4 linked regions of the Struthio camelus genome follow. The protein of the gene in region 2 purifies or fractionates together with the protein of the main gene of each other region. This does not show direct contact. Links are inferred from orthologs where the notes say so. Each region holds a gene or a part of one and is shown on either strand. Other genes may lie near its edges.

The links.
Region 1: the proteins of EIF4G1 (region 2) and EIF4A2 purify together in Homo sapiens (affinity purification with mass spectrometry; 6 studies listed by BioGRID and IntAct, with this or other methods). This does not show direct contact. The link is inferred for Struthio camelus from reciprocal best matches to the Homo sapiens genes EIF4G1 and EIF4A2.
Region 3: the proteins of EIF4G1 (region 2) and EIF3A purify together in Homo sapiens (affinity purification with western blotting; 4 studies listed by BioGRID, with this or other methods). This does not show direct contact. The link is inferred for Struthio camelus from reciprocal best matches to the Homo sapiens genes EIF4G1 and EIF3A.
Region 4: the proteins of EIF4G1 (region 2) and EIF3B purify together in Homo sapiens (affinity purification with western blotting; 7 studies listed by BioGRID and IntAct, with this or other methods). This does not show direct contact. The link is inferred for Struthio camelus from reciprocal best matches to the Homo sapiens genes EIF4G1 and EIF3B.

What each region holds. Positions count from the first base shown.
Region 1 is NC_090950.1:23,112,831-23,120,552, reverse strand, and holds the start of EIF4A2 (eukaryotic initiation factor 4A-II), read right to left. Parts: upstream 3,013-7,722; 5' UTR 2,681-3,012; coding exon 2,652-2,680; intron 1,428-2,651; coding exon 1,382-1,427; intron 1,293-1,381; coding exon 1,160-1,292; intron 1,032-1,159; exon of another isoform or gene 961-1,031; intron 884-960; coding exon 744-883; intron 1-743. UniProt on the Homo sapiens protein: ATP-dependent RNA helicase which is a subunit of the eIF4F complex involved in cap recognition and is required for mRNA binding to ribosome.
Region 2 is NC_090950.1:22,673,789-22,680,689, reverse strand, and holds the start of EIF4G1 (eukaryotic translation initiation factor 4 gamma 1), read right to left. Parts: upstream 3,006-6,901; 5' UTR 2,880-3,005; intron 1,108-2,879; exon of another isoform or gene 1,047-1,107; intron 1-1,046. Other genes in the region: PSMD2 (26S proteasome non-ATPase regulatory subunit 2), read right to left, coding at 5,868-6,050, 6,133-6,251, 6,338-6,464, 6,634-6,728.
Region 3 is NC_090948.1:7,407,547-7,415,267, reverse strand, and holds the start of EIF3A (eukaryotic translation initiation factor 3 subunit A), read right to left. Parts: upstream 3,006-7,721; 5' UTR 2,836-3,005; coding exon 2,787-2,835; intron 1-2,786. Other genes in the region: DENND10 (DENN domain-containing protein 10), read left to right, coding at 5,939-6,033, 7,084-7,300. UniProt on the Homo sapiens protein: RNA-binding component of the eukaryotic translation initiation factor 3 (eIF-3) complex, which is required for several steps in the initiation of protein synthesis.
Region 4 is NC_090956.1:6,231,847-6,239,374, forward strand, and holds the start of EIF3B (eukaryotic translation initiation factor 3 subunit B), read right to left. Parts: upstream 3,017-7,528; 5' UTR 3,002-3,016; coding exon 2,452-3,001; intron 1-2,451.

The sequences.
Region 1 (7,722 bases), about 440 kb from region 2:
TTTAGTTTTACTTTTAAGGAGAATCTTCACTTAACACACGGACATTGCAGTGTATTCTAGTTGAAAAATAGCAAGCTGTATATAATCCATTTTCTACTCCATTTTGAGTTCTGTCCCCTTTCAAGAATTCTCTTGAAAATTCTCTATTCTCTTAATTTTTAAATCCACTCAAGCTAGGTTTTCAGTTCATCCTAAAAACTGCAGTATCCTATAGCTTTGTTCAAGCACTTCCACCGAGTAAAACAGAACACCACGTCTTGGGAGAGTGAAGTAAACATGCAATATAACATTTGTCAGAAAAACATCACAAGTTACAAAAACAATGAACTGACCACATGCGCACTGCAGTTTTCATGTTGCACAACTGCACGCAAGTTCAAACAGCTTCCAAAAAAGTACATTTTGTTTCCACTCAGAACACTGTGCTTGAATAACATGTCTTGTATTTTGCCATTCTGCTGAAGATGCTCCTTCAGAACTATAAACAGCATAGCAGCTGGTACCTGCAACCCTGCCCCAGAATACCCTCCACATGCATGGCATCTGAACTTTTCAAAAGCAGGCAGAGAACTTGTGGGACAGAGGCCAGTTTACTTCCCCCATCACTCAACACAAAAAGGGTTCTGAATGGATATTAGTTACAGCCCCTTAAGAAGTCTGTTAATTGTCCCACAGTTGTGAAACCTGAAACCTATGCAACACACAAGCAGCTTTTTTTTTTTTTTTAACTACACTATCAATACCTGTTGAGCCAGTTCTCTGGTAGGGGCCAATACTAGTGCTTGGGTCTCCTTGAGATCAATCTCCAACTGCTGCAGGATGGAAATAGCAAATGTGGCTGTCTTGCCAGTACCTGACTGAGCTTGAGCAATCACATCATACCCTAAAAAAAGTAGGATATACATTTACTGCTCCCACACAGGTCATTCATGTTTAGTTTTATTTTATTCCCTTTGAAATAAGTGATCAGTATTAAAGAGTTCTCTCCATTTCAGGTCAGTCCCGAAAGATGGTGTACCATCATGTCACTTGTTCAGTAAGGATTAAAAATCAGTAACATCACACACTAAGAAAGCTAACAGTATAGCCATTTTACAACACTTTCCTAATTATCTGATGTTGCTGTTAACAACAAAGGAGTCGATTATACTTTTCATACCTTTGATACATGGAATAATAGCTCTCTGCTGAATAGCTGAAGGCTTCTCAAAACCATAAGCATAAATGCCCCTGAGAAGGGATTCTTTTAAATTCATATCATCAAAATTGTCAACAATCTCATTCCAATTGCTCTGCAAAAAAGAAAAAAGTCAAATTATTACAACAATCACACTTATCTCCAGCAATGATTAAATTCTTAAGTCAGATCACATGTGCTCACCTCAATGACACCATCGGGGTCCATTCCCTCTGGGCCGCCATGGTCTCTGTCACCAAAAAAGAAGAAACTGTGAACACAGTAGTTAATAACACACGGAAGGGAGCTGGCACTTTGGCTGCCAAAAAGCCACGTTGGCATCACACTGGAACCAGTGAAAGATCTTTCTAGCAGGTGCTTTGATATTTCGCCAGTGCAAAGTCTTCTATCCTCTCCCCACTAGCATGGGTGCCACTAGCCCAATTCCTCAGTCAGCTTCAGTCACTACCAAAGTTCTCAGTGTGACACAGGATCGTCAAAGCCTTCGTTCCGCAGGGAGTCTTCACAGCGGATTTCCGATTTTAGAAAACCGTTCCCCCCCAACAACGTGGCACAACTCCCGATGAACATTAATTCCTATAAAAACCTAGCCGACACGGCAACAACTGCATGTCCCAGTGCACAGCGCCCCCCTCACGGAAGGCATCCGCCCGAGGCGGGGCTCTGCATGCTGGGCTCCGCAGCTCTGGCGAGCGGCAGGGAAACGGTCGCCATTGCGCACTATAAGCCAGCTCAGCCGCAGCGCCAGGCGTCGGGGGGGGGAGGGGGGGGACCCGCGGCTCCGCTGCGGCACGCACCCCCCCCCCGCCCCAGCCGCGTCAGAGCCGGGGAACTCTCGCGAGAGCTCCACCCCTGGGATTGCGCAAACCGGCTACGGTGAGCGAGCGGAGGAAGGCGCCGGGCGAACGCCCAGCGGGCCGCGCCCCTCCCCCCTCCGGAGAAAAATGGTCTCGCCCTCAGCCGGGCCCGCAACCCGGAGCGAACCAACGGCGGAACCGGTGGCGGGGGAAGGATCGGAAAGAGAAAGAGAAAAGAAGAAAAAAAGGTTTCGGGGAAAGGCACCTTTATGAAACTGCCTTTTTAAGCCATAGCGCAACGCGACGAGCGGAGTAAAATAAAAATAGCCCTTTCGGGGGGGGGGGGGAAGGGGGGGAAGAGAAGGGGGGAGAGAGGAAAGCTACCAAGAGAGCCAACGGCGAAGAAACGAATCCCAGGGAAAGGAACGAAAGGCTCGCTGAACCCCGAGGAAAAAAGGAAACGGGACGGAAACATCTAGAACTGGGAGGAGCCGAGACGCCGGGCGCTGTCTAACCGCCCTCAGAGCCCCGTCTCGCGCGCGCGGCCACCCGCCCCTACATCACCTCGCTCCTTTCCCCGCCCCACCGCCTTTTCCCAACTCATCGACCTACCGTACAAAATATAGGGCCCAGGGCCGCAGTGCGCCGCGCCATACCTGCTATAATCCGCGGAGCCGCCTGACATGTTCCGAACACCAGCTCTGTCCTCAACTGAAAAGGCAAAGCCTCCGCGGCGGCCGCTTTATATAGCCACCCGCTGCCGGACTCGTTTCGCTCTTCGCCGCGCATGGATATGCGTCTCACACCACAGGAAAAAAACCATGAAAAACCCCCGTTTGAGGCCACTCCGCAAGAGCTTCCCCTCGACACACTTTACGAGATCCTCCACAGAGGTTTCTGAGCCTCTCGGGGCCAAGAGGTGAGCCGGAGCCTGGCACTACTTTTCCTCGCGGAAGGATATTGCAGCATTGACGGAGTGACTGCGTCTCCCTCCTTCCTCCTTCTCCGCCCCCCCCCTCCCGCTCCTGCGCACGGGGTTTCCCACCCGGCCCCTGCTGCAGTGCCGGGGGGCGGGGTAGAGGGGGAGCGGGGCGGGGTGGGCGCTGCGTTTCCCCCGCCATGTCAGCGGTCTTGGAGCCCGGGGCTGGGCGCGGGGCACCTGGCTTCCTCGGGGCGGTGGAGCTGGGCCGCGGGTCGCCCTCTCCGCCCCCCCCTTCCCCGGCGGAGCCAAACGCAGGCCGCAGCCCTCCCCCTCCCCCCCCCCCCGCAGTCCGGTGAGGGGAGCGGCGGCGGCGGCGGCGGCGGGAGGCCGCGAGGTGACGGGAAGGAAGATGGTGGCGCCGGCGGCGGGAGGGCGGGAGCCCCCCCCCTCTCCCCCCGGCCGCGGCTCCCTGCCGCCGCGGCCCGGCCCACGCGAGCGCTGCGGTCCTGCGTGGAGACCGCCCCCGGCGTGAGCAGACAGAGCCGAGCCGGCTCGCCTGTGGGCAGGGGAGGCGCAGGCAGCGATGCTTCATCTTCCTGGCTCCGAGGCGGCAGCTGACTGAATCATGCAGATGGTTCTGGGGTGTTAAAAGTGGAACATTTTTAAACGGGCTGAAGGCCTATTTGGGGAGCGTTTGTGGGAGTGAGGCAGAGTGCTCGCTAGGCTGCTGCTCAAAACACGGCGCGGTGATGTGCTGCGGCTCGTGGTGTAGCGTGAAAAATGCTGTCAAGGCCCGTGTAAAGGTTAGTGCAACCTGAAGTCAAGCAGAACCGTGCCGTTAGGGGAGGCGTCGTCGTGCGGACTGAATCAATGACACGGCTAGTGGCCGTGCTCCTTGCTTTCAGGCCGTTTTAGAAAAAAAAAAATACTGATCCTTTTAATACACTGATCAGGTTTTTACCGTTCATCGGTATTTCTTAAGTAGGCAAATAATATAAGCTGTAAGCAGTGTTTCCCTTCGTTTTGATGGGTTTGTGTGTGTCACTTCTGAAGTTGTTTCCATAGTGATTATATATGAACAAATGGAGTCAATGCTTGAAAAACCCAGCCTTTTAGGAATTATCTAGAATATCCATAGAGAGAATCTTTGAGAGGTTAAATATATATTAGCTCTTTTCTATGGTAGCCTCGACTGGGGCAGTATTATCTGTAGAGATAGCACAGGATTTGTCAACATCCCAACTGAATGACAAAAACATAGCTCTTCTGTTGATCCACCATAATGCTTTCAAGTTTCTGCCCACGTTTGGTGGAAAATATCGAGGATGCTTCTTGCTTCTATTTGTAATTTAGGGAGCCCCACAGTAATAACTGGGGGTCTTTTTAAATGGATGATAGCAGATTACGTGGAGCCATAAACCGCAAGTTATCAAAGAAACGGGATGGACTGAAGAAAGAACGTTGTAGGGCACAAGTTAGGGCAGGCATGGTTAGATTTCCTATTAAAAATGACATTGGGTCCAGATGGAAGAAGTAATGCTACTCAATTCTTATTTTTGAATTAAGAATCATGAATGCTTATTAAGAAAGCAGAGAATGTATATACATATTATTTAAGTATTGCAATTAGACCTTCGTATATCTGCACACCTAAGTGAAAAAGACGTGTGAGAAGCTCAGGAAGGTACGCCATCGTTTTCCACATACTTTAAATGTATTTTTGAAACAATATTGCCATCTTAGAATTAGGTGTCTAGTTTTTTTTTTTTTTTTTTGTCCTCTGTACTACAGAAATTAAAAAAGGAAAGAGTTTGCTTTCATTACCTTTAGATAAGCAAAGGGTTGGAGACACTGAATCAGTTCTGTCTTTATGTGATGCACTATAGCAAATATCCGGGATTGTCATCCTGGTAATGACCATAACTATACCGGAGATAAAACTGGGAACATTTTATACTCTTAAACCTTGTCCGTGAACACAGTGTTTGAGAAATATCTCTTTGATGATAGTAGGGCAAACACACGTTTTATTTTTGATCTCATACCTAGTTTGTGTATTCGTACAGACTGGAGGTAGCCATGGTCTGCCTGGGGTTATGTCTATTATGAACATGAAGCATCACACTGAAAAGTGTCAAAAGGTAACATCACAGACAGAGTCTTGGATTAATACTGGAATTTATTATAGCCTCCTCGCTTTAAATCTTAGTAAACTTTCTAGAGCAGTTTCGACTGAAAACTTGCTGCCTACGGACCAGGTTCATGTTATTGTTAGGCAGAAGAGATACCAAAAAGTTACTAAATCAGTGTTTTGTCTATCCTGCCAGTATTAGGATCCATGGTCACAATTATATGCGCACGCTGTATTCTTCAGTGGATGTCTCTACAGAAGACAAATCTTGGTGAATCATGAGACCTTCAGTGAGAGTGAACGTAATTACACACTTATTAACACAGGGTAGCAGGTGGACTGGCTGGTTTAGCAGCTGGGTTTCCAGTCATTATTCACGCAGACTGAAGTAAAGAATGAAGTATCTAAAGAAAACGGTAGGAGATGACACCTCCCAAAACTGGGCTTCAGATGAGCGGTCCCTGCTCATCAATATTCTGGCAAAGGCAATGTTACTGTTTACATGAGAAAATTTCTGAAATCTCATTTCAAAAAACTTATACCATGAGTTAAATATACAGTGAAACCATTGTGTACTCCCCTGGAAACCGGAAAGGTCCTGAGTTCCTCTCCTAGATTTGCAAGTCCTGTGTTAGTGCACATAGCACCTCTTATTTGACTGCCACAACTAGCAGGGCAGAGAAATAATTGTAGATGGTCAGAGGTTATTCATAGCAGATCGTGTTGAGGATCAACATGTCCTGTTAGGGTGTTGTTAGCAAGAGGTAATGTCTTTCAATTCATCATTGCCAACGGAACCTACCTAAGCAAAGGCATGCTTCCTCGGACGTAGGAGTGAAAAGCAAAGGCATGCTTCCTCGGACGTAGGAGTGAATAGCAAAGGATTCTGGAAAATCTCCAGGAGAGAAAGACTAAATTCTAAGAGACTCTTGCTTGTTATTTAAATACAGTCATAGGGTTTCATTATCTACTAACTTAAGCTCTTTTGTCATTCTACTGAAATCATAATCTAAACAAACTAAATAATAGTAATTCGTAAGATGCAGTGACTTTAATGCACCGACAGGCTTCCTTTATATCTTTAGTACCTCAATGTAATGTGAAATCCACATTATGACATTTTCAGTATATTAGGCTGCTAGGTTTGTTTTCTTGTTCTTTTGCAAAGTTATTTTACAGCTCTGTTATGAGCTGAAAGATATTTCTGCTCTTTGTAATCAAACTTGTTTGTGTTGTAAAATCTCAGTTATGTTCTCATCAAGTGAGTGAACCTCCAGACAAGGAATTTTCTCTCCTGATAGAAGTTTCGTCTCGCTGAATAGTTGTGCTTTAGGCCAATACGGAACGTTTTCAAAAATGCTTAAATAATTTAGGAGCCGAGCACTATGGAAAACCAGTGGGATTTAGGCCACTTAATTTAATTGTCCCACGTGCCCAATCTAGTCAAGCTATTCAGACTCCTGTGAAGGACGTGGGTTGGATAGGGCCTTTTGCCTACCGGCTGACTCTGAAACGTGTGCATGGTGGTTTGTGGCTTGTGCTCCTTTATTCCCTAATAGCTTCTGAGCGCAAGTCTCCAAGGAGTGTCCTTGCTTCAGTTTTGCATAATTTTGTTGATTAGTGGAACCTGGGAATCTCAGCTATATCCCAGAGGGTCAAAAATCTAGCCAACTAAGAAAACTTAAATATTTCTTATATTTGTAGGAGATAGCTATCATTCGATCCAGTGCCCTTTGAACTCGTGAGAAGTTTCCTGTTGCCTTCAATCAGCATTAGGTTGGGCTACTAATAAAAAAAAGTAATATTAATTTAGAAAATAAATATTTCCTTTCTAAAAGGAAGTTTGTAAATTGCTGTTAATTCTTCAAACAAATCCTAAATAAGAAAACTATAAAGAGGGACCATTTATGGTGGTCTTGTGATTTTAGTAACTATTCAGGTAATGGGAAGAATGTTGGCACCGTAAAATCTCAACCTAAGTACTTGCAAGAGAAAAACATTTTTTTTCCTATGATTTTCTGTAGTTAGTCATTCAATCCTCTGCGTGCTATAAAACTCAGTGATCATAGTTTAAAGTCTTGAATGTTCTCCTTGACTGAGAGGTTATATTCTTTCTTACTAAGGTTTGTAGCTGGGCCCAGGGCACAGAGTCAGCTTAGCTCTCTTCTCTGTTCCAGACTTCCAATGTGACCATAATCATGTAATTTTAGCACTAAAGCTGCACAGATGATATTGATTGGACTCTTGCCATTGATTTTTATTGGAATAAAATCAAAACTTTGTCTGCACTTCAGTTTTCCCCTCTTTAAAGTGGGGGTAATGGTATTTGCCTCAGAGGTTACGTGTGGGCAGATGTTTGAAAAACATTGAGATCTGTAACGGGAGGAGGCTTAGAAAGTCTTTAATAGAAGTTGTATGCATACTTTCAGGGCAGTTTGTTCTTTCTATTGCAAGAGTAAAGAAAGCTAGAGAGATTAAGCAGGTGGCAGCTGCTGATAACATCCTGAAAGAGTACTGTAGTTGCATTTATTTTTCAAGTGAATTGGAAGACTTCTACACTACCATGAAATGCTGCATGTCACATATTTCTGTTAGATGCAGTGTGCAAAAAACAGATTTTTTTTCCAATTCTGAGAAAACGTAATTTGAGCATATGCATTCTTTTGGAAAAAAT
Region 2 (6,901 bases):
ACGGCCCCCCCCAGGGGCTGGCACTGCCACCCTGGCTGCCAGCACCCACGTGCCAGGGGAGCCCAGGCACCCTCCGGGCTCTCCCCTCGGGCCACGGCCCTGACAAACCCCAGCCAGATCCCAGGCGGGACTTGGCACCCGGTGCCGCTCTCCCTGCCCCAGTGCAAAGGCTGCCTGGGCAGGAAGGAGCAGAGGTGCCCCCCGCTCCGGGAGGTGCCCCCTTCACCCCCACGGCGGTTCGGAGCACCGGCCACGGCCAGGGCAAGCTCGCTCCCCGGCCGGACCACCCGAAGGAGCAGCCCGTCGTGCCTGCCTGTAACCTGACGCCCGGCCGCGTCAGCGCTCGCAGCCCTGCCGGCCCCCCAGCGCCGCAGGCAGGCTGCGGCTGGGGCGCGGGGCACCCCCCGGCCCCCCCGCAGGGCAGCGCCGGGCACATCCCACCAACGCTACTGCCCCGGCGCCTGCCAGCACCCTCAGGCCATGGGGTGCCCCATCCCCTGCACCCCCAGGGCCACGTCCCCAGCACGGGGGGGGGGGGGGGGGGGGACACAGAGCCTGCACGGCCTTTGGGGGACCCCAGACACCAACACCGCCAGCCTCAAGCCCAGGCAGGGATCAGTCCCGCTCCGATTTCAGGCCTCAGAGAAGGCTGCACCCTAGCGCTCGCCCTGTCCCCTGGCTCCCGGGGGCGCTGAGTGCCAGGCATGGGCCCCAGGAACCCGCGCTGGCACCCCACCGCCCAGCGCGCCCGCCGCGCGTGCCCAGACGCCCCTGCCCTGCCCTGGGAAGCGGCAGCGTGGGCCATTTTAAAAAGACAGCTTGGTGCTGGCACAAGTTACTTGGAAAAGGAAAGGGGAGGGGGGTTAAAAAAAACACGGAAGGGAAGGGAGCGGGGAACTCCTGGGGACAGCCACGCTTCCAGGACACTGCCATGCTCCCAAAACCGCACCGCTCTCCCCGCCACAAGTCTCGGCGCAGACAGGCGGCAAACCCAGCTTCCCCGGCCCCCCAGCACAGGCACAACCGGCAGAGAACTAGATACTCACCCCCCCGCGGGAAAAACCTGGGCCGACTGAGCGGGCCTGCAGAGACCTTTCATCCGACTGACTTGGAGAGAAAGGAGGAAAGAGAGAAGGGGGGAGAGAGAGAGAGGGAGAAAAGGGAAAGAGGGTGGGAGGGGGAGAGAAAAGTCAGCCTGCAAACCTGCCGGCGCTGGGAGAGGACAGCCCCGCGGCGCAGACATGGGGGACGCCGGGGCCCGGCCGGGAGCACGAGGCCGCCGGGGCTGGGTTGGGCTGGGCTGGGATGGCCGGGCGTGCTGCAGTGCAGAGCCGCCGAGCCCCGGAGCACCCGAAACCCCACCCACAGGCACGCCGGGCGCCAGGCCCCGCGCCCCGAGCCACCCTGGCGCGCGTGCCGCCAGACCCCCCCGCCGGCCCCCTCCTCGCACCGGGGAAACCTCCCCGGCCGGACGTGCACAAATAAAACATCCGGGAAGTCCCGGTGTGGCGGTGGCCCGTCAACGGGACGGATCTCCGCCGGGAGGGGAAGGGGAGCAGCCGCGGGTGGCGGGGGGTCGCAACGGGAGGGAGCTGCTGGCTCGGGCCGCCGTGCCCGCCGAGCGCTGCGAGACGCCCCTTTTCGTGGCCTCGGAGCGGCCGGAGCCCCCGGCGGGGCAGGAGGGGCCTGCTCCACCCACCGCCCCGCCAGGCGTCCCCGGGGCTGGCGGCCGACCGACCCGACCCGCCGGCCCGAGACCGTCGGGGCCGCGAGCGAGCGAGGCCGGGGCAGGCGCCGCCTGGGGCGTTTGGGGACGGGAACGGGGCGAAGCCCCCGCGCCGCCCCAGGCAGCCCCCGCGGACGCCCCGCCAGGCAGCGGCCTCTCCGGGGCCACGGGCCGGAGCCCGGCCCAAAGGGGCCGAGACCGCACTCCGGTGCCAGCTCCGACCGGGCCGCTCCGGAGGCGCCGCCCGTCGGTCGGTCCGTCCGCGGGCTCCCCTCCGGCAGGCCGGGGCAGGGGGCGGTTCGCCCGCCCGCCCGCGGTTTGACGACAGTGCCCGGGGCAGGACGGGCCGCGGCGGCCGGCGGCTGACGCAGCCCCCGGACCGGCCCCGCCGGCGCCTCCGGGGAGCCGCGATGCCGCCTCGCCGGCGGGGCCGCCCGACCCCGCTGCCGCCCCGCCGGGCCGGGCCGGGCGGCACCATCCCCGCGGGAGGGCGGCGAGGCCGCCGTGACACCGGCCCCGGGAGGCCCCGCGGCGCGGGCAGGGCCCCGGCCGGGCCGCCGGCAGCCGCGCCGCTGGGGGCCGGCCCCGGCACCGGGGCGCGGCTGGGGGGGAAAGAGGCCTCGGCGGCGGCCCCGCCGGCAGCGGGCCCGGCGGCCCCCGGAGCGGCGCGGCGGCCGGGCCCGGTGCCGCATCCGGCCGGGCCCGCTCCCCCCCGCGGCGGCGGCGGCCTCTGCCAAGGACACGTGTCACTGCCGGCCGCCGCCATGGCGCGCCGGGAAGCACCGGCAGCGCGGGCCGACGGGGCGGCGGCGGGGCCCGGCGAGCGCGCACCACGTGGGGCGGCGGCAGCGGGGCCTAAGCGGGGCGCGGCGGCGGGAGCACGTGCGCAGGCGGCGGCGGGCGGCGGCGGGGCCGGCACGTGGGCGCGGAGCGGCGGCGCCCGGGCGGGCCGGGCCGGGCCGGGCCGGGGGCGCCGGGTGGGGGAGGGGCGGGGGCCGGCGGCGGGGCGGCGCCCACGTGGTGGCGGCGGCGGCGGCGGGGCCCGGCGGCGCGCGGAGCGGCGCGGCGCGGCGGGGCCCGGCGGAGGCGGCCGGTGCCGGTGCCCCCCCGCCTCCCCCCCCCCGGCGCGGCGCCCCGCCCCCCGCCCGGTTACCTTCAGTCTCCTTCAGCGCGCGCGGCCCGACGCAGCCGCAGCGCAGCGCAGCACGACCATTTCCGGAGCCGCGCCGCGCGCAGGGGCGGGGCCACGCGCCGCCGCCGCGGGGGGAGGGGCGGGAGGCGGCCGCCGCTGCCGCCGCCTGAAGCCTGTCTGGGCGCCGCCCCGCCGCACGTGACGCCGGCGCGCCGGGCCCGCTCCCCCCCGCCCCCTCGCCCCGTCACGTGACGGGGCGGGGCCGGGTACGCGCCCCGCCCTCGCCGCCGCGGCGGGGCCCGCGTGGGACCGCCCCTTCCCGCCGTAAACCACGCCCGCCGCCGTGGCCACGCCCGCCGCCCCGGTCCCCCGTGCGGCAGCACGTGGCGGCGCCGCCGCGGCACCCGGCACCCACGCGGCACTGCACCCGGCCCCCCCGCGGGACACCCCATCCGGCACCGACCCGGCACCCACGCGGCCCCCCTTGGACACCACGCCCGGCACCGACCCGGCACCGACCCGGCACCGACCGGCCTCCGCGGGACATCCCACCCTGCACCCACGCGGCCCCCCGTAGGACACCCCACCGGGCACCGCACCCGTTATCGCACGCCTCCGCGGGACATCCCATCCGGCCCCTGCGGGACACCGCTCCCGGCACCCACGCGGCACCGCACCCAGCCTCCGCAGGACACCCCACCGGGCACCCATGCGGCACCCACCCAGTCCCCGTGGGACACCATACCTGGCACCCACCCGTCATCATCCTGGCCCCCTGTGGGACACCGCACCCAGCACCGACTCGGCCCCTTACAGGACACCCCACTCGGCACCCACCGGGATCCAGCACCCACCCAGCATCAACCCAGCATTCCCCCGGCACGCTGTGGGACACAGCACCCACCCAACACTTCTCCGGTTGCAGCACCCCGTGGGACATGGCACCCAGCACCCCTCCTGTGCCCTCCGTTCCCCTGTTCCCATCCTGCAGCCACCCTGCACCCCTCAGGACAGGACGTCCTGTCTGCACCCTGCACCCATCCTGCATCCAGAAACAGCGTCCTGCACTCACCCTGCACCCCCTGGAGAGAGCACCCAGACTGCATCCATCCCTGGGACGCTGCAGCCAGCACCAACCCTGCACCCCGCAGGCTAGGGCCCAGCACCCTGCACGTACCCACCAACCAGCTTTCCAGCCAACCTCCCCCCGTGCCCACCCTGCACCCACCTACCACCCCGGCGCTGCACAGCACTGCACCCACCACCCTACACCCACCCTCGTGCCTGGGACATCGCACCCAGCACTCCTGCAGCTGGCACCCATCCTGCACCCACCACCCTAACCCTCTGGGGTGGGACACAGCACCCCCACACCCTGCACCTGGGACATGGGACACAATACCCTGTGCCCACCCCTGGGGCCCAGTGCCAGCACCCAACCCTGCACCCCTCAGGCCTCACACGAAGCCCAGCACACCATACCCAACCTCTCTGCACCCTCGCGCCGGCCCCACAGGATCCCAGGCCCCAGCAGGGTGCCGAGCACCCTCCAGGCCTGGCCTCACTCCTGCTGCCCTGCGTGGGGCACAGCAGCAGGTCTGCGGGTGACGAGGCCCCCACCCCTCCTCGGGGAGGGTGGCGGGTGCCCCCGGGGTTGGGACCTGAGCCAAGGGAGGACAGAAGGATGCTGACACGCAGCAGCACAAAGCCAGGCCCTGGCTAGAGATGTCCCCAGGATCCAGCCACACTGTCCCCAGAGGCTGACGCAGGGCTGGGACGCTGGGGCAGTGCCAGGCACCTGCAGGGGACAGCCAGCAGGTCCCCTTTGTCCCCTTGAGCACCAGCAGTCCCAGGCACCCAGGCCATAGCCCCCACTCTGCGAAGAGGCCCAGCTGAGCTGCGGGACCCCCAGGCATCGGGGAAGCGCGCAGCTCGCCAGGCAGCAGGACAGGGCACCCTGCTTGGTGTGGCAGGGTGGTGGTACCAGTATTTTGAGAAACAGCTTAGGGTTTTCCTCTCTTTCTTAAGAAACTCCCCCCACCCCATCTCCTTCAGCTTGCCCCAAGAGTTATTTGAACCCTGATCCTGGTCCCACGAGGGCTCCAAAGGAATTGCACTCCTACGAGCTGCACCGAAAGCCGGCAACAGCCCAGCGCACCCCAGGGAGCAGTTGAGCCCCACTATCAGCCAGCAGAGACTCCACATGACGAGAGGCCCAGCTCAGGACAGGCAGTGCCAGACACCCACCTCACCACGGGACAGGGAGTCTGTGCTGACGCAGGCGCGGGGGGGAAGGGAAGTTGCACAACGCCGGCGTGGGTGCCACGCAGGCACGCCCTGCCGCACCGGCCACACGCGCCCAGGGCACCGTGCAGGCACGGACACACACAGGGCAAGGAGAAACAGGAGCCGGAACAAGGCCACGGCCTAACAAGGCCGAGACCCACACCAGTCTGGGAACTTGCACGCCTGCAGCCCCCCGTGGGGGCAGGGCGAGCTCACAGGGGCTCTCTGCCTTCACCTCCTGCCTCTTGGGGCCTGCACTGCACCCAGCCTCTGAGAGCATCAGCTACCCAAGGGCCCAGCAGAACCCGGGGAGCTGCCCATCACTGTCCATCCTGGCAGAAGCAGCAGAGAAAGGGTAACTTTAAGGGGGTCCGAACCTGCTCCAGCGCCACAGTGTCCCTCTAAGGGAGACTTGGCTAGGGCTCCGTGGAAAGGAGCCTATTCTTCCCTGCTCCGGCTGGGGGAAGATCTTGGCCTGCATCAGCTCAGGGCTCCAGGCTTAACATGGACATGGCCTCACTGCAGTGTACCCAGTCTGGCCAGGGCAGAGGGGATGAGAGCCCATCCTGTGCCTCCTGTGCAGGGACAGCATGGCAGCACCAGAGTCTCCGCATAGTTTATTTCCTCAAATCACAGTAACAAACAAATCACCTTCTCCCCCCCCCCCACCCCAACCACCTGCCCCGCGTCCTGTCCCCCACCCTATCCCCATTCCCCGGTAGCTCAAACATCGTAGTTGGGGTTCTTGCGTAGGATGACGAATCCCTCCAGGATGGGTGTCACGGGCACGTGCTCCTCTGTGGCCAGCTCTGCCCGCTCTCCATGTGCCAGCAGCACTGGTGTTGTGTGAGTCTGGAAGCCAGTAATGGTTTTTGGCTTTCCTGCCTGGCCCACCACATCCACAGCCTGCAAGAGAGGAGCGAGATGAAGGCCAAGAACACACAGGGACCCCCAAGCACCCTGTCCCAGGCTCTGGCTGCCCCCTTACCTGTCCTACCCGAACCGATACAGGTAGAGGTCGCAGCTCCTCGTCAAAGGTGACCAGCATGCGGGGCTGCATGGCAGCAACGAGCCCATAGAGAACGTAGTGGGACTTGCCCAGGATAACTGGAAGGAAGACGTAAGGGTCAGGGCAGAGCCCATCCCACGGAGCAGAGGGGTGGCAGGAAGGGGGGCGGCCCCACAGTACTCACTGTTGCGCACGTCCAGGAAGGACACAAGGACAGTCAGCAGCCCAGCCACAGCCACCTGGCTCATGAGCTGGCGATCGCTGTGGTAGGGGCACAGGGTGAGCGTCCCCTTGCCCAGGTGGGTCAGCCCCTGATGGGGTAGAGAAAGCATGAGAGAGAGCTGTTAGGCAGCGCCTGGGACCCCCCAGACCTGCCAGCCAAGGGGGTGACAGCCCAGGGACAGCACTCCCCTCCAACGCACAGGACAGCCACCCCAACCTCCCCTTCCCCTCCACAAGCAGCAAGTGTGGGATTTTCACCTGGGCCAGCCGCACCATGAAGAGGTTGTTGGGGTCTTTGGCGTGGTACTGGGCAAGCTGCCGCAGCATTGCTGCTAGCCGGGCATTGTTGGTACCTGGAGAAGAGGAGGTGCAGATAGAGATCAGGGAACACAGCCACCACGGCCCTAGTTTTCCGCTTTCCCCTCCTCAGGGTGCAGGGCATCCAGCCACAAACCCTGGGACAGGCAAACACGCAGCTTCCAGCAAGCCCAGTTCCCTCCACCCGAAAGGCCTCGTCCAGCCCTCT
Region 3 (7,721 bases), on a different chromosome or scaffold from region 2:
AAGTATGGACTACTTTCCATAAAGTACCTTAGAAATGACTGCTTTCCTAAAGAAAGAATGTCAGAATGGATTAAAGGAGGAAAGTAAGGACCTGTTCACAGTGCTCAGGCATACAAACAGAGCTTCAAAAAGAGGAGGGAGCTTGCTGTGCGCTCATCGTGAATCTTTCAAAAGTATATATATATAACCAGAGTTCTAGGATTTGGAATGTCAGAACTGAAGCCAAACATGGCTAAAAATTATAGTCCAAAAACAGCAATAATATTTTAATTATGAACCATAATTCCACATATTTGGTGATTAATTTATTTAAATAATGAGCTTGCCTAAAATGAACTTGTTCCTTTACAGATGAAGTTTAGGGTTATATTTACAGAAAAATAAGGTTACAACGTGACAGTTTTCAGTAGTTTTTTTTTTTTTTAATTATTCACCAAGAAAGTTTTAATAAAGTTACACTCCATCTTATAATTTAGGCCATTATTCTGTCTCAGAGCTGCTTTTGAAGCAATTACTGCTCAGCTTTACAGTCTTTTATTTATGAAAATAAACCTGAAGAGCAAGTTGAATTCTTGCAACAATGCTAGGCTGCTCCAGCCACGATTCTTTGTGGCTGATAACCAACTGGACAAAGTACAAAATTAATTCAAGTTGTTTTGAAATTTTAATTTATTCTGGTCAAGCAAGTTATTGCCAGTAAGTCAAATAACTAAGGCTAATTTAACAAAGACTTTCATAAAAGCAAAGTGAACCTGAAAAGTCAAAGACAGCACACATCACTACACCGTATTGTTGAAACTGTAAGTTAGAGAAAAAAAAGAACTGTAACAGAGCAAATTTAAAATGTTAGCTCCTGAATAGCTATCAGAATGCCTTTTTTCCTTCCAATTCATTATATCATGGGTTATATTGCTATATATGTTAAAAGGTATCCAAAAAACAAAAATTGAATCTATGACTGGACATAAACTAGCTGATACATAGGAACAACTAAACTAGTGTTAAGGCAAGTCCTTAAGTAAGCTAAAGTTTCAATGTGAAAAAACTAAGTTGTTACAGAAGCTGGCTAAGATACTAGCAACAGCTATGGGTTGGCTTTGACCTGCATCTGTTGTTTGGGAGGAAAAACAATCTTTCTTAAAATATACACATCTACAACAATTCAAGCTCTTTTTGCTTCTAAACATCCTGTATGTATGCTGAAATCACCGAGGAACCCAGAGCATAAAATACTTCTAAATGCTAACTTAAGCCTTACATATAAACACAAAAACTAGAACTCAGGAAGCTGCACTGCGTTTCCCAAGTTTGAAATATCAGTTTAACATTAAAGTACTTTCCATGACATATAATTTAGCTTAGGAACAAGCTAACCCTCTCAGCTTCTTTTATACTCAGATACGACTAAATCGAAGCCTCCACAGTTTACAAAGCCTTGACCTTTCTTGTCATTTTTTCTAGTCAGTCTGCTGAAGTTTAGGTTTGTTTGTGTTTGTCAAGAGTACACTTCTCTCTCCCAGTCCTTCAACTCATCAGATTTTAATGGACTTGCAGCAGTACAAGAAATGTCAATTTAAAACCTTACACTGTTCTTTAATTCCAGGAAAGAAAAGATAAAATCTCAGATTTAAGGAACAGTTTTTAGTCAGTAAGGTAACAATGTGACTTCCTCACCAACTTTAATTAAACCTCAGAACTCCTAAGTAGAGAATATACTACTTTGATATATGCACTTCACCAGTAAAAAGACTGCTAATATACAACTTCCTCACTGGAGTTACTGGACTTGATTTTCTCTTTTGTTTAGGCAGAAATGATTTTAAAAATAACTTTAAACTAGAAACGTTGAGAATATTCAGTATTTTATTTAACATTTTCTTGTTGTTAGAAAATTGAACACCTGAGCTAAACAGAATTCCCAGACTACCCAGCCTCTTCAGGTGTCGTTCTAAGATCCATATATCCTCTGTAATTTTGGGATGTCTTTAAATCTGCTTCTTGCAAGCAGCCCTGTACTGATGAGAAGTCTAAGTGGTCTCTTGTTGACCAATCAAAATAGGCTGCTATAAAAAAAGAAACGCTAAAGCTGTATGTTTAACCTGAAAGGCATCAGCCTGCCTAACACTTAAGGAGTTTAATTATCTGCATTCTCGCTAGAGTCACTAATGAGCGGTGGGATCACTAAATCCGAAGCCCACACGGAAAAAGCACGTCCTGGGACCAGCTCGGGTTTAACAAAAACACCATCCTGGAGCGCACGTAGAAGCCGGGCCGGACACAGCGGAGCCGCCGCCGCCGCCGCGCAGGGGGGAGCAGACGGGGAGCCAGCCCTCGGGCGAGCAGAGCCACCCGCCGTCCTCACAAACCACAGCAACGCCGGCGGCGGCCAGGGGGCAGAGGCAGCGGCGCCGCAGAGCCGCCGGGACCCCTTCGCCCGGGGCCGGCCGCCGCCCGCAGGGTGGCCCGGCGGGGAGGCGGAGCCGGGCCTGCTCCCCCGGCCGCCTGGGCCCGGCCTGGCCTCCGCCATGCGGCGCGGCCTCCGCCGGCGGGCCCGCGCCCTTCCCTCACGGCAGGGCGGCGGCGCGGGGCGGTTAACGGCCGCCCGGGCGGGGGGAAGGGGGGGGAGGCGGCGGGACGGCGCGCGCGGGAGGCGGGGCGGGCCCGGGCCGGCCGGCCGGCCGGGGGGGGGGAGGGGAGGGGCGCACGCTGCCGCCATGGACGGGCGGGCGGCGGGAGGGGGGGGGGGGAAGAAACACTGGCGGGGCCGCGGCGCCGCCCGCACCCACCGTTCGCCCGCTTCAGGGCGTTCTCGGGCCGCTGAAAATACACCGGCATGATGGCGGCGGCGTCTCCTCACAGAGCGAGGGCGGCGGCGGCGGCGGCTCGCTCCGTGCGCCCAGCCAGGCAGCCTGCGAGGCCGGAAAGGGAGGGCGCCCCCGTGACCCGCGCGCGCTGACGTCTGCGGAAGCGGAAACCCCTCCTGGCGGGCGCGCGCGGGGCCGGGCGGCGTCGCGACCGTTGGGGCCGGGCGGGGCGGGCCGCGCTGCGCCGGGCCGGGCCCTGAGGCGGGTGTCCGGAGCCTCCCTCCCCGCCCCGGGCCTGGCCGCCAAGTACAAGACGGCGTGTGAGGTTAAGGCGGTTGGTGTTCGCCATCGGTTCCTAACGGACACGTGCGCCGCGGCGGTCCTCTCCGAGAGCTGCCGTCGGACTGGGAATCTGTGAAGCTGCTGGTTCAACCCAGACCGGGGCTGTGCTACCGGGAGAAGTGACAGGAGGAGAAATCTGCTAGATGTGGCTGCGCTTCCTGACAGGAGTGCCTGGCACAGAGGCACCAGTCTGTCTGCAGGAGGTGGCCTTGGGGGCAGGTGGTGTGTTATTAGGTTACAAGCCGCACACATCACTCAGGTAAGGACAGTTCCTGACCCAGCCAGGTACCTTTGTGGGGGTAGCGGTCCTCCAAATCAGGGAACTGGCTTGCGGAGCTCCGTGAAGACATTAGGCTAAGTTAGAATTAGGTTTTTGAATTAGCTAAATAAGCTGAACGTGGAAGACTGTTTTGGCAGAGAAGTCATTATACATGCCGCGCATTTGCTCTTGGCAACCTGTTCAGCCAGTTCGGAAATAGTACTTCTGAAGTGGTTAAGAAATTGCACAAAGGCCCTGCTTCTGTCTCCATGTCTTCATTCCTCTGATGAAAGTTTTATCTTCAAAATTTGGGAAACTGTTTCAGAGGAACGCAGGCATTCCAATAGCTTTAGTTCTGTGCAGGAGTAGTAATGTGAGTTTATGTGGGATAGCTACCAGTGTCAGTGCATATTTTTCAGAAATGCGACTGTGTTTTCTCACTGAAAAATTCTATTTTGGCAGTTGGAAAAAACAACAGAAACTATGAAAGTGTATGAAAGTCATATAACAGCAGCAAAAACACCCAGTAGAAGAGCAGCAATTAAATGTGTGACAAATACGGTATTTTGAGTTAGTAAATACCAGAAGAGTGAATCTCCACTGAGGCATTTAACATTAAAGAGTTTTTAGTCTTTCAGCAGAAATGCAGACCTTGCACTAGAAGAGCGCTGATAACACCTCGTGACTGTAGCTGTGACCCTCTGCAGACCCAGCTGTCTAGCACCAGTTTCTTAAGTATGACTAAGTATGATTTTCTAAAATTAGATGAAGTATGATGATTAAAGACAGCCTATTGTTGTCTATTGATCTTCTGTTTCAGTACACTTCTTTCTGTGTACTTTCTGTTTACAAACAAGAAGTCTTACTTCATTTCTTTTTGTGTACTTTTTGCAGTTACCATCTTACATGGCCACCAGAAAAGTTTCATGACTATTATGCAACCCACATTTAAAACATTATTTTTAATGTTGTCTTGTAATCCCAGTTTATTGCTAAATAGAAAACTAATTAAAATAAGAAGGAAAAATACACAATCAATGTATGGAAGTTCTAGCGTCATCAGTATATCCATGTAACTCAACCCCCTGGTGCTCCACACTAGGCCCTTTTCACTCTATTGCATGTGTCTCCATTCTGGAGGAAAGGAAAAAAAAATCTGCTTTATCAGTCTCTCTTTGCTTGAGAGTTTCTCCATGTGTCCTTGGTGTCTTTTTGAGATCAGGTGACCAGTGTTGTACGCAGTGTTCCCCATGAGGGCACGCTATTGATTTATATGATGTTATTTTAATACAATCTGCGTTCTGTACTATCTCCCGCAGTCTAGGTAAACCACATGTGTAAACCACATTTACACATTCGGTAGAGTTCGTTAAGCTACACACAGTGTTGAACAAGTCCTTTTTTTGTGTTCATAAAATTAATTTAAAAGTCTGTAAGACGAGAACCGAACACGGACACTACACAGATCTGAATGAGCAGCCTCCTAGCATCTGAAGGCCGCCTGTGCCCCTATCACAGCAGCCAGTGCTTGTCCTAGGGCCTTACACCCTCTGGTAGTAGAGCTCAGGTGTGCTACTTTGTATTTATTGCTACTTAATACCATCATTTGCTATTATGTAGCCCACTGTCTTCACTTTGAATCTCTCTGAAATTCTTGAAAGCCCTCCAGGACTGACTTAGACAACTTTGTATCAGGAACAGCTTTTACTATCTGACTACTTAAGTCTTTCGCTAAATGGCGGATAAGCATACTAAATGCTTATGCTTTAAGACTGCCTGTGTGAAAATCGTTTGAGAGACTACCCTTTGGTGCTTTCCCTTGCCAGGCGAGACCCTTGACAGCTCTGGCCCCCCTCCCAGGACTGGACTGTTTCTTCTGATACTCCTCTAGTTATCCTGGGTATTTTGGAAATGTGACAAATTATTCCAAATCTGTTACTGCTCTCTATTATTAGCGTGTTTTGTGCACTATGGCTTCACATATGGAATATTCAGGCATATTCAGTTCAGTTAATCCAAACTATAAAACAAGATGCTTTTATTCTTGAATAAACGCATCCATGCACGGAATTATTCAGAAATAGCTGTTATGCTTTATGAATATTCCCTACCTTAATCAGGCTATCTTTCAAGCATAAACAGGCCTTTATGAATACTTTATAGAAGCATTTGCAAGGCCTGTAAATGCTGTGCTTCATTCCGTATGAAGCATAATCAGGCACAGCTTCTGGATGTTACAGGACTAGATGGTTGATGATAAAGTAAGAAAATTCTGTGAGCAATACAACCTTATTTTGTGTAATATATAAATAAATCAGTTGCATAAATTGTAATATATTTTGTCTGTATTTTATAAATAAAATACATAAATTGTATCCTGTGATTTACAGAGCTAAAAAATGTAGGTGATGAAAAAAATCTATAAAATAATGACACAAAGAAACGGACAAAGGGTTTAGGGGGTTCATTTTCTACCCGAAAGCAGATTGAAAAGTAACTGAAAAAGAGCCGGGGAGGAGACAGGCTGCAGCGGATGCCAGCCGTCACAGCTGCAGCCCGGAGGGGCGGCAGGGACAGGCAGCAGGGCCGGAGAAGCAGAGAGAAAAGGAGCCGGTGGCGCTCGTCGGGGTGAGCGCGATGCCAGCGCGGGCGGACGCGTGGCGGGCGGCAGGGGATGGCAACGGGCGAGGCGGCCCGGCCCGGCCCCGCCGCGGACGGCGACGGCGACACGGGGCGCCGCCTGCTCCGTCGGGGCCGAGCCGGGCCGTGCCGGGCCGAGCCGGGCCGGGGCGGGGCTTGCGGCGGCGGGCGGAAGGCGGCGGCGAGGGCCGGGGCTCAGGCCCGGGCCCGGGTGAGGGGCTGCGGGCGGGAGACGGAAGATGGCAGAGCCGGAGACGCAGCTGCTGCTGGGCGTGGGGCTGGTCGGTAAGGGCCGCGGCGCCGGGGCTGGGGCTGGGGCTGGGGCTGGGGCTGGGGCTGGGGCTGCGGCGGGCCCGGCCCGGCCCGGCCCGGCCCGGCGGGGCTCTCCGGCCCGGCGCGGCGGCGCTCGGGCGGGCCGGGCGGGCCGGGCTGGCTCTGCGGCCCCGCGGCGGCGCCCGAAAGCGGCGGGGTGCCGGGCGCAGCCCCGGAGAGCCCCGCTCGGCGCGCCCGGGCGCCTCGCCGCGCTGCAAGCTGCTTCCCCCCCCCCCCTTAAAACGCCCCTGTAACCACCCGAAATGCCGGCGAGAGTGAAGCACTGGCGTGTATGCTGCGTGTCCTGCGGTTCTGCCGGGGGCTGCGTGCTCGCCGGGGCCGCGGTTTGGTCTTGTTGTAACGAAACTCAACAGCGCGAAGGACAGCCGGAGCCTTAAGTTCATGGCTTCCTCGGTTTCGGCCATGAGAACAGAAATGAGAAAAACAGGAAACGTGGTAAATACGCTGATCTGGTTCCTATGGACCTTGCTTATATAAATGTGTTATTCAAACTCCTCGAGTTAGTCCTGGATCTCGTGAGGCAGGTCAAGAGTGGATTTTTTTATAAGCGTTTGAAAAGTAAACTCGTAGCACAATAGCTGCCTGCAGCAGCAGCATAACTGGATGCCTAGGGTCAGTGTAAAACGGAATTTTAATCTGATTCCAGGAAACAAATCTGATTAACCAATCGATTTACTTCCTCACTGCTGTTTGGCGTTCTCACAGTGAACATCTTTCCACCGTAGAAAAAGACACCAATGGAGATGCTTTGTGGGTTTGGTGTTATCCGTCCGTAACAGCTGAACTGAGGAATCTATTGCTGAGAAAATGCTGCCTTACAGATGAGAATAAATTGCTTCATGCCTTTGTGTTTGGCCAGTATAAGAGATCATGGTTCTACATCGCAACTGTGGAAGTTCAAGATTCTCCAGCCTTGAAAAAGGTAGGACTGTTCGCTATCACACCTCCTGCTTGTTTTTCAGCAGTATACAAGGAAGATTTTTGTAGAGCTTTCTCCGGCCTTTTTTTTTTTTATATAATATCTAAGCAGTGTTAAACACACCATTATGTGCTGTAAGGAAGGGAAAAAATTCGAAGTTTTGTATGCTCATGGATGCAACCCAGCTGTTATTCTTACCTAGTCCACATATCTCAGTCTTCTCAAAGATGTATGCTGATTAGAGTTGTAGGGAGATTCAGGTACATAGGATCTAAATTTGTAATGACTATTAAAGCAGACTGAACAGAAATAATGGTGTGAAATAACCATCAATCTAATTACTTTGCATTTTAAGTCCAACAAGTTTTTGGGTTTTTTTTTTTGGTTGGTCGGTTGGTTTTGTTTGGTCAAGCAATCTGTATAA
Region 4 (7,528 bases), on a different chromosome or scaffold from region 2:
TGGATCTTAGAATATTCTTCCAGTACTTAGCTATTCTCCAGGTAGTTAACTACACACCAAAGTTAGGGATAGGCTAATCAATCGAGTAGGATTTAGGAGACATGCACTGAAGCGTCTACTATGCCTACAAAAGTAAGGACTGAAGGAAGGAATTTCAAAATCTAGTATTACAGTAAAATGCCAACATGTATATCTCTTACGTACCCAGTAGTCCCATATCTTAGATTTTTTCCTAAATATAACATGCAAGAGTGCTCTACAAGGAACAGCAAGGTCACTTCCACATAAGCCTCCAACAGAAAAAGAAATATACGCAGAAGGATTATTTGTATTTAGGCTCCATTAGTCTTTTTTTTTTTCATAACCACTTCCCACAAAAGACTTTGTAGGCCTGTAGATCAACCAAGTAATACGTATTTAGATTCTTGTGCAAGTACACACAATACACCTGTACTGAATGAGAACTGTAACAGATGAAAGACAAATACCTACACTGTACCACACTTCTGCCTTAAGTTCAAAATTGTGAACAAAGGAATCTTCAAAGAGTAAGAAGCTGGTCTAGCCAGCTCCTACTCCACTAGGAAAGGAGGGTGTGGTGGGTATACAGCTACCCTCACCTGCCAGTTTTAAGGACCATTACCAGAATCTGAACTGAAGCTTCATTGCACCAAAGCGGTTATCTGACACATCCCTTCTTGCTTGAACTTGGATCAGCTGTTCTGCCGTGCCAACATCATTCTGGAAAAACGTTAAATAAAGTAACATACCCGAGACGGTCCAATCCTAAAGCTGCTCTAGTTCCAAGTATTTTGAAAAACGTGATGTTACATTAAGCATTATAATAGCCCTGGCTCTGTGACACTGACGGACTGCCTTTCTCCGTAGGGAGTTGTGAAGGTAAAGAGAAAGGAAGGAGACAGCTCAAGAAATAACACGTGCACGTGGAAAAGCCAAACCAGCAGTTTTAAACACTGTAAATTGGTCACTAAAATGATGTCACTCATATAGCTGAAAAGTTAATCAGATTCATCCTTAATAATAGAAAGCGTGAGGATGGGCAGTCTGCCTCATTTGGGGAAAAAGACAGAAATGAGCATAATCATCCCAAGTGTAGACAAAGCACATCAAGCAAACACTTGATTAGACCAAAAGAATCTAGCTATACTCCTGCAGACAATTTTGCCAAAGTAGATTTAAGAAACACAGAAGTGAGAAGAGATACAAACTGCTGAATTCAGAAAAAAATGTTTTCTTAACCTATGATACTCTCCTGATCGTCCATTAAACTAAACATAGGACTGGAATACTAGAAGGCACATACACCACCCACACTTCACTGCCAATCGAAACGACTGACTTATGAACGAACTACCAAATGCTGAAAGAAACATTTTCCAGTTCTGACATACATAACTACTACAAGAGGCCCATGAGATCACATATGTCAGAATAAGTATTGGTTAAAAAGATAAACACTTCTGCTGTTCAAGAAGTGAAATAGTTTATCAAGAACGACTCATCTGGAAGAAACAAAGATATTAGAGCTCTAACTCCCTTACACCAAAATTAGTTCTTCCCATAATTATCTATGTAAACACACAGGGGTTCACTCATGTTAAGAGTCAATATCCAGTCATTTTAAAGAGCTTCAGTCTGAACTTTCAAACATCAGAAACAGCTTTTCCATATTTTCTTGCCACAGAGTACCTATGACAACTCTTACTGAGCAGTAACTCTTCTCAAACTCACGCTGTTCATCTGCAGAATTCCATATGGAGGTGTTGAAAAACAAAGAAGTCGAGTTCATTAAATCTCATCGACTATTTAGAAATTGTTTTCACAGTTCAGGTTAACTAACAGAGCCACACAGAAAGCACCCAGGTTGATGATTCCACTTGGTCGGGACAGCCCATGGATCGATACTTAGGTCTTAACGGTAAATTTAAGAACAACGGCAATTAAGCAGCGTGGCAAGGTGCACAGATACGCAAGAAGAAATTGCGCTTAAGAAGCGTTGCTACAGTGCAGACGTCGTAGTTGGTACAACCATTGCGACCAGCACTGCACCGCCGTGTAAGGCGGGCCGAGACCGCCGTGCGCCCAGCAGCCGCCAGGCCGGCCGGACTGGGGCGCGGGCAGAGTCCCGGCTGGACTCTCCGCCTCACAACGAGCTCCTGCAGCGGGACTCGGTCACAGCCCGCTGGACGCAAGACGCCCCCGAGGCGCTCGCTGCGTTTGTCCCCGGGGCCGCGCAGCACTGGCGCGGAGGAGCTGCGCGCTCCCCAGCGCTGCGCCGGGCCCCTCTCCGCCTGCCCGCGGCGGGAGGCCGGGCCCAGCCGGCCGGGCTCGACGGCTCCCCGCGCCCCGGCTCGGGCCTCGGCCGCCTCCGCCTCTCCCTTCCCGCGCGGCCAGGCCCGGGCCCGCCCGGCCGCCCGCTCCCGGCCGCACCTTCGTCGCTGATGTCGTCCACGAAATCCTCGGGGTCGCTGAAGGAGAGCTCGTCCTCGGGCTCGGCGGGCGCCGCTTCCCCCTCCCCTTCCCCCTCCTCCGCCGCGCTGGGCTCGGCCGGCGGCTCGGCCTCGGCCGGCGGCTCGGGCCCGGCCTCGGCCTCGGCTACCGGCTCGGCCTCAGGCCCGGCCTCGGCTACCGGCTCCGCCTCGGCCTCGGCCGGCGGCTCGGGCGCGGCCTCAGGCCCGGCCGGCGGCTCGGCCTCGGGCGCGGCCTCCGCCTTCTCGGGGCTCTGTCGGCCGGACGGCGGCTGCGGCTCCGGCTCGGGCTGCTCCGCGACGGCGGCCTCCTCGGCGGCGAGCGGCGGCTGTGGTGACTCGGGAGGACCCGGCGGCGCCTCAGACTCGCCCTCTTCCTGCTCCTCTCCCGGCTCCTCTGGCTGCGGCTCCGCGGGCGGCGCGGGGGGCCCGCCGGGCTGCTCGGGCTCCTCGCCGGGCCCCTCGGCCTGGGGCGCGGCGGCGGCCGCCGGGCTCTCCTCGGTGTCCTGCATGGGGGGGGTGGGGGGCGGCTGCTGGGGCCGCCGCCGGCCGCGCGCTCCCACCTCAAGCGCGACGGACGAAAGGAGCGGGGGAGGGGCGGGGAGGCTCCTACCGCCGGGCCATGTGCGCGCGGCCCAGCGGGCACCGCGCGGCGGCGCCGATCAACCGGCGGGGGGGGAAGCCCTCCCCCGCCGCAGCACCCGCTAGCTGCCTTTCTTCTTTCCACGCCGCTCGGAGCGGGAGCGGAAGGAGAATAAGTCACTATCTCCCTCGCCTCCCGCTGCTCCCGGGGCCAGCGGCGGTCTCCGCTCTTCTCTGCTTCCGGTGGTCACGACTTCCCCCGTTTCGCCCCTCGCGGTGGTTGAGTCCAACATGGCGGCTCCTTCCAGCCTCCCGAGGTGGGGTTCGCCTGAACCATTTTTGGGAAAGTGGAAAGAGGGAGGCATCGTGACATTTAACTGCACGGACGGCACATGAAGTCTTCCTGCGCCGATAACTCGGCGTGTCTCCCTGGTGAACGGTAGGGCGGAAGATGACAGGGCAGCACCCTGAAACGAAACCCGTCTACGGCCCCCCCTACAAACGCTCCGTCATGGGCTCGCCCGAAGGGGCTACCAAGCTTATGGAAGAGGGGGAGGCGCGCGGTGCCGAGCCGACACCCTCGCGCTTGTGCTCAGGCGCGGGTAGAACCCGGCGGGGGGAGGGGGGGCTGCCCCCTCCCCGCGAGCGGCGCCGCCGCGCGCCATGGTACGGCCCGGCGGCGGCCGCCACATCAGCGCCGCGCAGCGCCCCCTGGTGGCGGCGCCCGGACGGGACGAGGCGGGGCGGGGCGGGCGCCATGGCGGGCTCGACGCCGGCTGCTGGCTCACGGGACACCGCCGCCAGGCCAGATGGGGGCTGGCTGAGCCAAGCCGTCCCCGAGGGTTGTGTTTCTCCCTACAAGAGCTCTATAGTTTTTAAACCGCGTTTCCCGTGAGGTAGCGCCGGCTCCCGCCTTCCCCCGTCGCCGCGGCGACGCGCCGGTTGACAGGAGAAGCGTTGGTGATGGACAGCGAACGCGCTCCCGCACGGCGATGCCGCCGGGCAGGGGCTCCTCTCTAATGTGCTCCAGCGATCTAAAGTGTTACCTTGGCTAACGTTAACATTTTAGTATGAGTTTTGCACCGGTAACGTTCCTTCCTCTCACCTTGGCTACCACCGTGACTGACCTGCTGGGAGAGCTGACCTCTCTTCGTCGACCAAACCGTTACTTTCTGTTAAGGGCACTTCGGGCTGACGCAAACATATGCCGAGTGCCACTTTTTCGGCATGTGAGCCAATATGATGACATCCAAAGCGGCATACAGGAAGGCTGCAAAGGCAGAACCTGGAATTTGTTTTGGATACCGTCTTGAGGTTAGAATGACGTTTCCAGAGGAAACAGGTCAGAGCAGTTCTTGCAGAGCAGCGCATCTGCTTCAGCTTCCAAGGTGAACTCTTGCACACTGCATTTTGTTTTTGGCCAAGCGCTTTCAAACAAATCATCAAAACATGTAGAATAAGAATGCGTAAGAGTTCATTAAAAGAGCAGAACAACTACGGCAGTTAGCATTATGCATTCAGACCCTATCTCATACGGCAGTATCTCATATGGCAGTATTTTTCCTGTTTAGATAAAAGTATGAGAAAAGAAATTTGAGAAATGAAGCCAAGAAAACCCAGTTTTATAATTTTATCAGCTAGTCACAAGATGTCACCCTAACTCCATTCAAAATGCAGTTGGTTGCGTTTATCTTGTCAATTCTGTATTTACACTGTGCGCTATGCTTATGAATGGAAATGATGACCGGCGCTTTGTGAGGTGATTTTTTTTTCCCCACATTATATCATGATAGTTAACCAGACTCTGACTTTCTGGTTTGCAGCAGCATTGACACATGCAAATGTAAAGAACAAAGCTGAATTACCTCTCCTGCCATCACAAGCATATATTTTTCCAAATGCGAGGACATGCAGTGGTTCAATCCACAGTCCCAGCTGGGTCCGCATGGCTCTTCCAAGACCGTATATTTGGTCTCTGGCCTATGTTTCACCATTCTCACAATAGTCTGTATTGCGGGAATAGACAATTTCTGCATATTACTTTTCTTCCTGTTTGTAAGCTATCAACTACTTTTTAAATCACTTTGGTTAAACACTGGATTTAAATGCTGGATCCTTCTTTCCTGTCTTTGTATAGTCTGCTGTTTGCACTTTCCCTTACTTTACAGCAACTTTTAACTTATCTTTTCTTCCTTCCTTCCTTCCCCCCTCCCTTTCCTTTCTTCTATTGAAATTTTCCCCCTGACCCTGTGCTGCTATCTCTACCTGCTATTCTTTGTCTTCCAATCCTTACTCAGCAGTCTCAGGGTGAGTGGAACAGCTTCTTACAACCAGAGATTTTGGGTACTGGCAGCTGCAGCCCATTCCTGGAGATATTCCACATACAAAACTCCTAATAAAATCAATGAGAAGTTTAAGAAAAGACGTTCAGCAGGAATGGCTTCTTGTAACACGTCTGTCAAACCAGAAACGCCTCATACATTTTGCTGAGTACATGTGATCTAAGAATAGTGGAGCTGAAAGCACCGATTTCTAAACTGAATTCTGAAAGAGTAAGCAAACTCTAATTTTTATGCTCTCTATGAAATTTTATCTAATACTGATAGGATGTGCATAGAATGACCTTTTGAAAGATTGGAGCCTTGGGTAATCATGTACTTTTGCCTTCATTACATTTGTGACCCTGAATCTACTGATACCTGTCCTTTCTTTCTTTTTTCTTTCTTCCTCCAGTGATTGTAATTTCTTTATGCTACACATTTTCCAAGAGCCTTTACTGCAATCACACACAAAAAAGGAAGAATTAAATAGCTTATGTCAAAGACAATCTTTTTGGCCCTGCTCAAAAATTATTTCTGCAGTTGAATTATTTCATTCGCAGTCAGTATTTTTCTTCAAGATTTCTGCCATGAGCTGCAAAAACAATCTTCAGTGAAGAATGTCTTATTTATACCAAATAAATAATTATGCTTATTAGCTTAAGTACAGACCAATCAAAGATCTATAGCTAAATAAGAATATGTTGATTCTTCCATTCATTTTCTCTAAAAATGCTATATAGGCGAAAAATTGTGTAGCGCTGAGTTTTCAGAAGTGCTGAGCATGCAAAACTCTCCACTCGGCTGCTGTACAAACATGGTTTGAAGGGCCTCTCAGCTTAAATAATACCATGCTTTTTTAATTTTATAAACAGCTTTAGTCTGCACCCACGCTTGTGGGGATCTCTGTTGAAATAGCAGCTGAGGCAAGAGGTAGAAAGAGAAAGGAGAATTACTCGGTCATTCAGATCTTTGTAGCAGGATGCAAAGTTTTAAGGGAAAATACTATGATCGTAATTACTCAGACCTAAAAGAATTCTTACTTTATAATTTCTATGTTTTAGTTCTCTATGTGTAGAAGGAGGATAATTACATGTCTTCCAAAGATTAATACATATAAGGAACATTAATTAGTGAATATGTGTCCAATACTTTAGCTATTAAAAACATAAAGTAGTATTATGGATTGGTAACATTTTAATCTGGAGATCTAGAGTCTATACATATTTTTGTGTGTCTTGCTTGTTTGATGGTGTTTTCAGGAAAACCACTGTGCAAAGCATATGCCTTATATTTCACCTGTGTCACACATATCATTCCAGACTAATAAAGTGTAAGAAGGGGAAAAAAATACTGGTAATAAAATGAGAGTTAGTAATGTCTGAAATTCTTATTTTATGCAGTTTTAGAAAGTGTATTTGCATTCCACATGTTTATATTTCTATGCTTTACTGTGTAGGACAATATTGGTTTCTACTTTGTTTGTTTGTTAGTGCACTCTTTCTGGGTATACGCAGTAGTATAAAATGTTACAATGGCTTTTCCTTTGGAAAATTATTAGTATCAGCATTGACTTATCCACAATGATATTTTATAAAAATCTCCATGCATCTGAAATATCAAAAAAAAATGAGTAGAGGAAAGATCCTCATTGCATGAGCAGATGGCAGCAAAAATTAAGTGCCATAGAAAAAGGCAGCTCTATGAAAGAAAATATACTAAAAAGTTTTCTTGGAGTATCTCATCTGTCTTGAAATATGAAATACAGTCCTCCCCCAAATCAATCGCTATGTGACTGAAAGGTCTGTGTAATTACTACTACCTAGCATTTATTTCCTCATCGCAGCACACAATGAAATCTGCCTGGAAGTTCACATTCCCAGCAACCATTCCTGAATGGCAAAGTGGTCCTTTCCAATTTTTAGCTAAAATTTGATTTGAATTTGGAATAAAGCCTGTATCAAACCCATGAGCTGATCACTTCTGAGGTTTTTCTATGCTCTAAGATGTTTGAAAGATTTATCATTAATCTTGAAGTGGTTTAGCAGTGCTTTGAGCAATCCAGTCAACAGCAGGGAAAGGTTATTACCCCTTCAAGTGTTTGAGCTCCTATTGTGAGAAAGCGAACATATTCCCAGT